Linked DNA regions of Canis lupus familiaris. The protein of the gene in region 1 interacts with the protein of each later gene in a biochemical or structural test. Links are inferred from orthologs where the notes say so. Each region holds a gene or a part of one and is shown on either strand. Other genes may lie near its edges.

Region 1 (4,268 bases):
GAGGCCGTTTTGGGTTTAATCAGCCCCACTAATTTTGAGTTTACATAAAACCTCCCACTGCAAGGAGCACCTGCACCCCGGATTAGGGTGGCTCTTCCAGAGGCTTAAAACACAGTGAGGGTCCTCCCCTCCCCCATCCCATTTCCCCTCTTGTCTTTCCAGTTGCAGAGACAGGAGACCCGGGAGACCTAGGACTCTGTACCTCCCTGGTAACAGATCCCTGGTTGCCCTTGGGAAAGGGCGGGCCCACACAGCTACACTTCCAAAAGACCTCCATCTGTAAAATGGGGTAATGGGAAGACATCTACCCCAACTCCCTCTTCCAAACTGATGTCAAAGATTAAACCAGATCATAGTTAAATGATCATCATAGTCAAGATCATAGTTAAATGCGTCAACATAAAGTCCTCACTTCAATCAAAATGAGAACTAGAATATTCGAAAATGACTTTTCTTTCACCTATTTCAGATTTTCAGACACATTTCCAATTTTAACTTAGCCAAGAGAAAAGAAAGTTTTTTTGCAAACTTGTGATTTTTGGAGGGCTTGAGGCCCCCATCCTCAAGCATCACGATTCTCCAGACGGTGAGACTTTGGTAATTATTCTATTTTATAATATTTCAGACTTGAAGACCCTTTTAAACAAGGTGGTTGGTGATTTATCCTGCTCCGTCATTAGTGGCTTGGCCTGCTCTGTAATTACAGGCAGTGATTAGAATCTTATATTACACCACAGGTTCCCCTTCAAGCTAAACATCAAAATTAATCAGTCTAAATGAGCACTGACCTCACATGAGGTCTGCAGAAGGCCCCCTCACGGAGGGGGTTCCAGTTGGGCCAAGCCAGCCCCTAATCCCAGAAAGCCTGGGCCCAGCATGCCTGAGAATCCTGGTGGGTCTCCGGGAAAGTTCCTGCATCATCTGGAGATCCCCCCACCACCTCATACTCCTGGGGACCCCTTTAATCCACTCTCCAACTCCCTCCCCTTCCAGGCCTCCAGGAACTGAATGAAGGCCTGAAGCCCTCTCTCGGTAGGGCTTGTCTCTTCTTCCACCTGTTTCTGAATATCAGAAGCCTGGCTGGCGAAGCCATGTTTAGGGCCCAACCTGAATCCTTCTGTATGTAATGAGCCTTTCTGGGCCTCAAGCTTGCCCCTCCACACACCGTGCATGCAATGGGTCTTCCACAAATGCACACGAGTCTACGAGCACAACCCTAGGAAATCATCATGGGGCTCCCTTGTTTTCCGGAAAAAAAGTAGCCCAGAGAGGCCTGAGGAGTTGCCCAAGGTCACACAGCAAGTTGGTGAGGAAAGAGAGGTTGTTACCGGCGACCCCTCTAGCCCGGGACTTTTCTTTCCTTACCCTCCTGGAGACTGATTAAAGTCTCTGTCGCCCCCTGCTCCAGACCCGGCCCCAGGGTGACTCTGCAAGTGTCTGGGCCGGGCCGTTGCAGGTCAGCCAACGAAACTAGGGGCCCGAGCGCGCGGGGGGAGGGGCACGGGCTGCTCTCGCAGGCGCGGGAAACTGGTGCACCCCGACCGCATGCACCGCCACGCGGGTGCACCCGGCCCCACTTCCTGCCAGAGGGGGCACCCAAGCCCGCCTTGGGGCAGGAAACCTGGCGCGCGCGGGCGCGGGGTAGAGGAAGAAAGCCACCTCCCTCCGCGCCCTCCCCGCAAAATAAAGCTCCAGAAAAAAAAAAAAAAATTGAAACGGGGAGTCAGAGGGACTAGTTCCAACAGAGCCCTGCAAAGCAGAGAAACCTGTTTGTGGGGGCGGAGGGCAGGCCCGGCCCCGGGGGCTGAAGAGGCGCGGGCCGGGCCAGAGGTGGGGTCGGGGTGAAGCCCCAAACCCAGGGCCGCGCGGTTCGGCCTCCTCTGCGTAGGGGGGCACCAGGAGGAAGGCCGAGCGGGAGCAGAGCTGAATTGCGGGGCTCCCGCCCATCCCCCTCACTTCTAGAACTTCCCCGGGCTGCGGGGGTCGCCCGGCCCCCCACTCGCCCGCCTCGCCGCAGCCCGCTCCTCTCCCCACCCCCCACAGCCCGGGCCCCGGCTCGGGCTCGGGCTCGGGCTCCAGCGGGAGCGGCGGCCGCGCGAGGTGCACCGGGCTCCGCCGGGTGCACAACTCGCGCTCGCCGCAGCCGCGCGCCCCCTCCCCCACCGCGCGCCTTTCCCGGGTCCCCGCCCCCCGCAGGGCACCCGCGGCGCGGGGGAAGGGGTGCGGGCGCCCTCCCCGCGCCGCGGGGCCCCGCCGCCCGCCCCCGCGCCGCGCGGCCCTCCCCCGCCGCCGGCTCGCGCAGCCCCGGCCTGGGAATAAAGCCGGAGGCGCGCGCTGCAGCCCCGGGCGGCTCGCAGGAGGGGCGGCGTGCGGGCGGGGGCGCGGGCGCCCCCCTCCTCCGCCGCCGCCGCCGCCGCCGCGGGCCCCGGGGACGACTCACCGCGAGCTCGGCCGCCGGCCTGCGGTGCGCGCTCCGGGCTGCCGGGAGCGACGGTGCTGGGCGCTGAGGACCGGCCTGGCTCCGCCGCCGCCGCCGCTGGTAGCAAATGCGGATCTGAAACCGGGAGAGAGAGCAGAGGCGCTCAGAGACCGCCGCCGCCGCGTGCTCGCCGCCCAGGCCCCCGCGGGGTATTTATCTGTCACATTCAGGCGGGGGGACAAAAATATTCGCCCTCCCCCGAAGGATGGCGAGGGGCAGGAAGCTAGGCACGGCCCGTGCGCGGCCTCAATAAATAAATAATTTAATTAAATGATAGATACATAAAAAAAAAAAGAAGCCACCGGAGGGGCCGCGAACTCACGCCTTCTTGGAGCCGCGCCAGCGCCAGAAATAGCCCGGGCTCGGAGTCCCAATTAGAGGAGCGCAGCCCCGGCTCAGGGGAGCTTAAAAAGAGCGACCCAGGGGCAGGGGGGACGGGCCCGCCCGCGCCAGCCGTGTCACTGTGGGGGGCGGGGCCATGCAAATGAGCCCGGGGATTTAAAAGGGCGGCCGCCCGCCAGCCGCCGCCGCCGCGCGGGTGGGTGCTGACGCCCGGGAGGGGTGCGCGGGAGGCCTGGGCTGGGAACCCGAGGCCACGATCCCCTCTACTGTCCCGGGCCGGGAGCCCGGGGAGGGTGCATAGAGTGGGAACGCCAAGGAGCTTTCCGCGGGGGGAGAGGGGAGGGCGTCCTCACAGCCTGGAACGGGGCGGGGGGGCGGTCCTGGGAGGATCACCTCCAGGGACCTTCCGGGCGCGTGGGCCCGGCGCCCGCGGGGCGCGCTGGGTGTGGGCGGGCGTTAGTGCCCGCGGGATCCGCGCGGGCGGGCGGGGGCGGGGAGGAACGCGCCCGGGAGAATTCCGCGGCCTACCCGCCGCCCCAGCGCCCAGATTCGCGGCTCGCAGATTCCCCTGGGCGGACAGGTGTCAGCATGTGCATTTCAGTGCCAACCTGCGTGTGGCTGACTGGTGAAATACAAGTCTTGTGAAATCCAAACGTGAAACTTGTGAAATCCCGAGTTCTCGCTTATTAATGGCCGCGAGTGAGCCGTCATCCAGGTGCAGCCTCCAAGCGAAGCAAACGATTGGCTCGCTTGCAGGTAAACCCGAGGGTGGACTCGTCCCTCCAGGGGGCTCGCGTGGTGCTTGGAGATACGCCTACCCACTGGGTGCCCTAGCCTTCTCCGCTGCGAAGGAGAACGAGAAAGCGTGAGCCCACGGTCGCCTGGAAGCACTTTGAGGGCAGGGACTGGGTCGACGCGAGCCGTCCCCGCCACGCCTGGCCCGCCCGGCGCCACAGAGACTTGTTGCACCGACGAGGAGGAAGCCAAAGTCGAAAGATGGCGGGGAGGGCGGTGGGAGAAGAAAGGGCGCTGTCGAGAGCGGCGCGCCCTGCAGGCCGGGTCCGGGCCTCCTCGGGCGCACCTCCCGCCCCTGGTCCCCGCGGCTGCCCTCCACACCTCCCGTGATGCAGGGAAATGCAATGCGGCCCAGTGACACACGGCTGTGACTCATGTTTTTCTTTGCTCCCCTCCTTCCTCCCCGGCCGGCCGAGGCCCCAGCCCAGCCCCCTCCTCAGGGGGCGAGCGGGCGAAGGAGGGGGCCGCCAGGAAAACCCTGCGCCCGCAGTGGAGGCGGGGTGGGGAGCCGGAGGGGCCGGGCCTCCTACTTTCAGGAATGTTTCAGGAATGTTTCCGGTGGGGGTGGGGAGCAGCGCGGGATGGGCCCAGCCCCCACCCGGGGCGGCGGGCCGGCGCTCGGGGCCGGGGGCAGCACGTGCTCGGCCGGGTG
Region 2 (4,547 bases), on another chromosome or scaffold:
CTAGGGTGCTGGCAGTGGAGGAGAAAAGAAGATGGACTCAAGATATATTCTGGAAGTAGAACCAACAAAACATATTCAGAATTCTCTTAAAAGGGACCATAAGTAAGTGAATTGAAAACAGGTTGGAGGAGTGAGTGCATTTAAAAGGGGAAGGAGGAGATTTTGAGAGAGGAAAGAATGGGAGAGGAGTGCCCTAAGTAGCAGCTTAGAGGTGACGTATTAAAGCGATCGCATTTACTTAGGACTCTAATCTCACAGCCTGCTCTGCACCTGTTTCCTTAAAACAAGGAATCAAACTGGGCAGAAAGACAAACTGTTTTGAAGACTTTTAGCCTTAAATGGTTGAGCCCAGGCCACTGGGGGGGGGGGAAAAAAAAAAGATAATTTACCCGATGAAAATAATGAAGCAAGATTTAACTAAGATCATTTTAGGGAGACACAGTGGTTCTTACTCTGGCCGCACATTCAGATTCCCCAGGGAGCTTTTAAAACTTCATGCGCGGGGCTCCCGTGAAGTGGTTCTGACTTAATTAGTTTGAGGTGAGACAGAGGCACAGGTATTTTGTGAAAGCTACAGCTGACTGTACTGAGGAGCAAGAGAGCCCTCCAAGTACAGCTGAGGATGTCGGGTCAATAAACCTATTCCATTAAACGAGAGATTAACAGAGGGAAGAAAGGGGTGAAGGGACTTTAGTCCCCAAATACGGAATACAGGCCCGTCGGTTCAATGGACATAATCCGAGGCTACCAGAAAATAAAGTCAACTTTCTTCAATGTCTTTTTTTTTTTTTTTTTTTTTTTTTTTTTTGCTGGGAGAGAAGTTTATTCGCACAGTGCTGGGAACACAGACGCTCCCACGGACACCGCACATACTTCAAAGTGTATTTTATTTGTATCGTGAACAACAGGGAGGGAAGAAATGAACCCCTGACAGTTGACTGAAAGGGAAACGGAAGAGGAAAAATACCTCGTCCACGCCAACGACCACGCGGGGAAGCAACCGCGAGGCAGGCGGGCAGCCCGGGGGCTCCGGGGGCTCCGGGGGCTCCGGGGGCTCCGCGGCCCAGCGCCGCCTTCGGCCGCTCCCTCCGCCGCGTGTCTCACCAACGGATAAATAGGGTCTTTAAAAGAGAAAACCCGAACAAGGGAGGGAGGACGGAGCCGTGGAGCTCCAGCGGCGCCCGCCCCGTCACCTCGCGTCCCCGTCACCTCGCGTCCCCGCGCTGCGGCCTGGGGAGCGGCGGCGTCGCCCGGCGGGGCGCGACCCGACTGCAGGGGCTCCCGCCGCCAGGGGCTGGCAGCGCGGCCCTTCCGTGGCCCGGGGTCTCCTCGCGGCCCAGGGCCGGTTCCCACCCGCAGGGCTTTCTTCGTGGCGCTCACACCGTGCGCACCGCCCCTCACCTCGGGGCGCGGCGGGCTTCAGAGCGGGCGGAGGCAGAGGGCAACGGAGGGGCTGAGGGAGAGAGGCTCGCGGAACTCGGGCGCGCGGCGCCGACCCACCCCCCCGGCTCCGCGGGGCGGCGGGGGCGGCAGGGCTGCCAGCGCGGGGCCGCGCTCCGGGCTTCTCCCCCGGATAGTGGGCGGTGCCAGCCGGCACTACAAGTCCCAGAAGCCCCCGCTGCCCGGAGCCCGCGCGGAGCCGCGCAAGGCCCGCCGGGAGTCGGCCGGGGCCGCCAAGATGTCGCAGCCCAAGAAAAGAAAGCTTGAGTCGGGGGGCGGCGGCGGCGGAGGAGGGGAGGGAAGTGAGGAGGAAGATGGCGGAGCGCCGGAGGCGGCCCCGCCGCGACCCCGGAGGGCGCGGCGGGAGCGGGACCAGCTGTACTACGAGTGCTACGCGGACATCTCGGTGCACGAGGAGATGATCGCGGACCGCGTCCGCACCGACGCCTACCGCCTGGGCATCCTGCGGAACTGGGCCGGGCTGCGGGGCAAGACGGTGCTGGACGTGGGCGCGGGCACCGGCATCCTCAGCCTCTTCTGCGTGCAGGCGGGCGCCCGGCGCGTGTACGCCGTGGAGGCCAGCGCCATCTGGCAGCAGGCCCGCGACGTGGTGCGGCTCAACGGGCTGGAGGACCGCGTGCACGTGCTGCCGGGGCCGGTGGAGACGGTGGAGCTGCCCGAGCAGGTGGACGCCATCGTGAGCGAGTGGATGGGCTACGGGCTGCTGCACGAGTCCATGCTGCGCTCCGTGCTGCACGCGCGGGCCCGCTGGCTCAAGGAGGGCGGCCTGCTGCTGCCGGCGTCCGCCGAGCTCTTCGTGGCGCCCGTCAGCGACCAGATGCTGGAGCTGCGCCTGGGCTTCTGGAGCCAGGTGAAGCAGCTCTACGGCGTGGACATGAGCTGCCTGGAGAGCTTCGCCACGCGCTGCCTCATGGGCCACTCGGAGATCGTGGTGCAGGGCCTGTCCGGGGAGGACGTGCTGGCGCGGCCGCACTGCTTCGCGCGGCTGGAGCTGGCCCGCAGCGGCCTGGAGCAGGAGCTGGAGGCCGGCGTGGGCGGCCGCTTCCGCTTCAGCTGCTACGGCTCGGCGCCCATGCACGGCTTCGCCGTCTGGTTCCAGGTGACCTTCCCCGGCGGGGACGCGGAGAAGCCCCTGGTGCTGTCCACCTCGCCCTTCCACCCGGTCACGCACTGGAAGCAAGCGCTGCTCTACCTGAACGAGCCGGTGCCGGTGGAGCAGGACACGGACATTTCCGGAGAGATCACGCTGCTGCCCTCCCGGGACAACCACCGCCTCCTGCGCGTGCTGCTGCGCTACAAAGTGGGCGACCAGGAGGAAAAGACCAAAGACTTTGCCATGGAGGACTGAGCGCGGCCTCCTCCTCCGCCGCCCCCACCCCCAGCCCCAGGCGGCCGGCCTGCGGGGCGGGGTGCAGGGGGCCGGAGCCGCGGCGGAGCCCGGCGCGCAGGTGGGCGCAGCGCCTCCCCGCGCCCTCCCCGCGCCCGGTTCCCGGGAGGCAGGCGGACTGGAGTCTCCTCCTCCCAGGAGGTTCTCCCGGCGATATTTATTTAAAAAGTGAACCCCGAGGCCCCCAACGATGGAAACAGCTTGTTTATTACTGGGCCTCAAAAAGCATGTGGTACCAAGCACTTGTATTTCTGTTTCTTTTGTTTCGCGGGAAGGAAGCCAAACACAGAGGAAGGCTCCGTGCACATCCCTGATGTCTCCCACCCAAACCTGAAGCCAGGGAGAAGGCTAACGGGGTTTACCTAGACTCCATAAATTTCCACTATGACTTAAATATTATCTCTCCAGAGCCATATTCTTTCGTTCTCGAAATTCCCTCCTTTCCTAGGTGCCTCTAGGCTTCAGTGCTTCTTCCTCCTTGTTTTTTTAAATAAACTTTTGCTTCTGGTAATGAGAGGGAGGAGAGTGAGGAAGCAGTTTGAATTATCCTGTTCTTACACTTAACTACTTCCATAGGGTGCTAAAGTCGAACACATTTCTCCTTTTTGAGTAAAATAGGCCATATATAATTGTGCAGCATACCCCCCCCCCCCCCCAACATCAACAAGGTACATTTAGGAGAGAAACATCTGAAAGTGAAGTAGTACGGGTTTTTTTTTATTCTTGATTTTACTATTAAGATTTAACCAAGGCAATGTTTCGTGTATGTTACATAATAAAGTTTTGTGTGACTTTTATTAAACCAGTTGGCAGAAGGCTTTCTGAACCTGACCCAAGGGGTTTGTTCATCATATTGGGTAAATTCTTTAGGCTCTTTAAATTAAGGAAAATCTTTTCCCAGCTAGAGAAATGCACTCACTTAAACTCTCACTTGGGGAGATCATGTGATCTGGCCTACTTACATCAATTGAAATTTCCTTTTTTTAGTGTTGTTGAGTTCTTTTTTTTTTTTCTTTTTAGCTCAGCCAAATGTGAAAGTTGTGAATTTCGGAAAATCATTTGTGATGAAGTGTGAGTCATGTTATCAAATTTATTTCACGGATGTTTCCCTCCTTATCCCTGTGGCAAATAAAACATTGGCATTCTATTTTTATAGATGAAGTAAGAAGTCTTGTGTACTGCGACTTAATAATGCTTTTGCCTACTTAATATCGTCAGTTCTTAAGTGTTACAACCCTTTCGGAATATAGCTTCAGGATAGTTTATGCTTAATGTATGTTTTTTCTTCATACTGGTGGCTTTTGTATGCTGATAGAAAACAGGTGTGAGAAGTGGTCTTTGAAGTAATTCAGTATAGTTTTGTTTATTGTAAATGAGTTTTCTCCTTTATTCATCACATATTAAAGTACTGAAGTATTATAACCAATTTGCTAAAATGTGGTGTTAACACATGAGATCTTCCATTAGGAGAGGAAACATACAAAATCAATGACTTGCCAAGATCCAAGCAATGACAGTGATAGTTGTCACCGTTTTGATAGTTAACAGTCTGTGTAAATGGTGCAGTCATAGTAAAGTAGGCCTGATTTAAGCTGGAGGTATAAAATAAGTCCTTTTTATTTTTTAGGGTCAACTATATAAGATGAACGTTTATTTACAATACTAATGTATGATTTTGGGTAGATTTCTGATGCTTTTT

Evidence for each region.
Region 2: of the proteins of HMGA1 (region 1) and PRMT6, one has a biochemical effect on the other in vitro, tested with the Homo sapiens proteins (2 studies listed by BioGRID, with this or other methods). The link is inferred for Canis lupus familiaris from reciprocal best matches to the Homo sapiens genes HMGA1 and PRMT6.

Annotation. Positions count from the first base shown.
Region 1 is NC_049233.1:3,706,119-3,710,386, reverse strand, and holds the start of HMGA1 (high mobility group protein HMG-I/HMG-Y), read right to left. Parts: upstream 2,875-4,268; 5' UTR 2,802-2,874; intron 2,555-2,801; 5' UTR 2,441-2,554; intron 1-2,440. UniProt on the Homo sapiens protein: HMG-I/Y bind preferentially to the minor groove of A+T rich regions in double-stranded DNA. It is suggested that these proteins could function in nucleosome phasing and in the 3'-end processing of mRNA transcripts.
Region 2 is NC_049227.1:44,890,208-44,894,754, reverse strand, and holds PRMT6 (protein arginine N-methyltransferase 6), read left to right. Parts: upstream 1-1,638; 5' UTR 1,639-1,678; coding exon 1,679-2,809; 3' UTR 2,810-4,270; downstream 4,271-4,547. UniProt on the Homo sapiens protein: Arginine methyltransferase that can catalyze the formation of both omega-N monomethylarginine (MMA) and asymmetrical dimethylarginine (aDMA), with a strong preference for the formation of aDMA.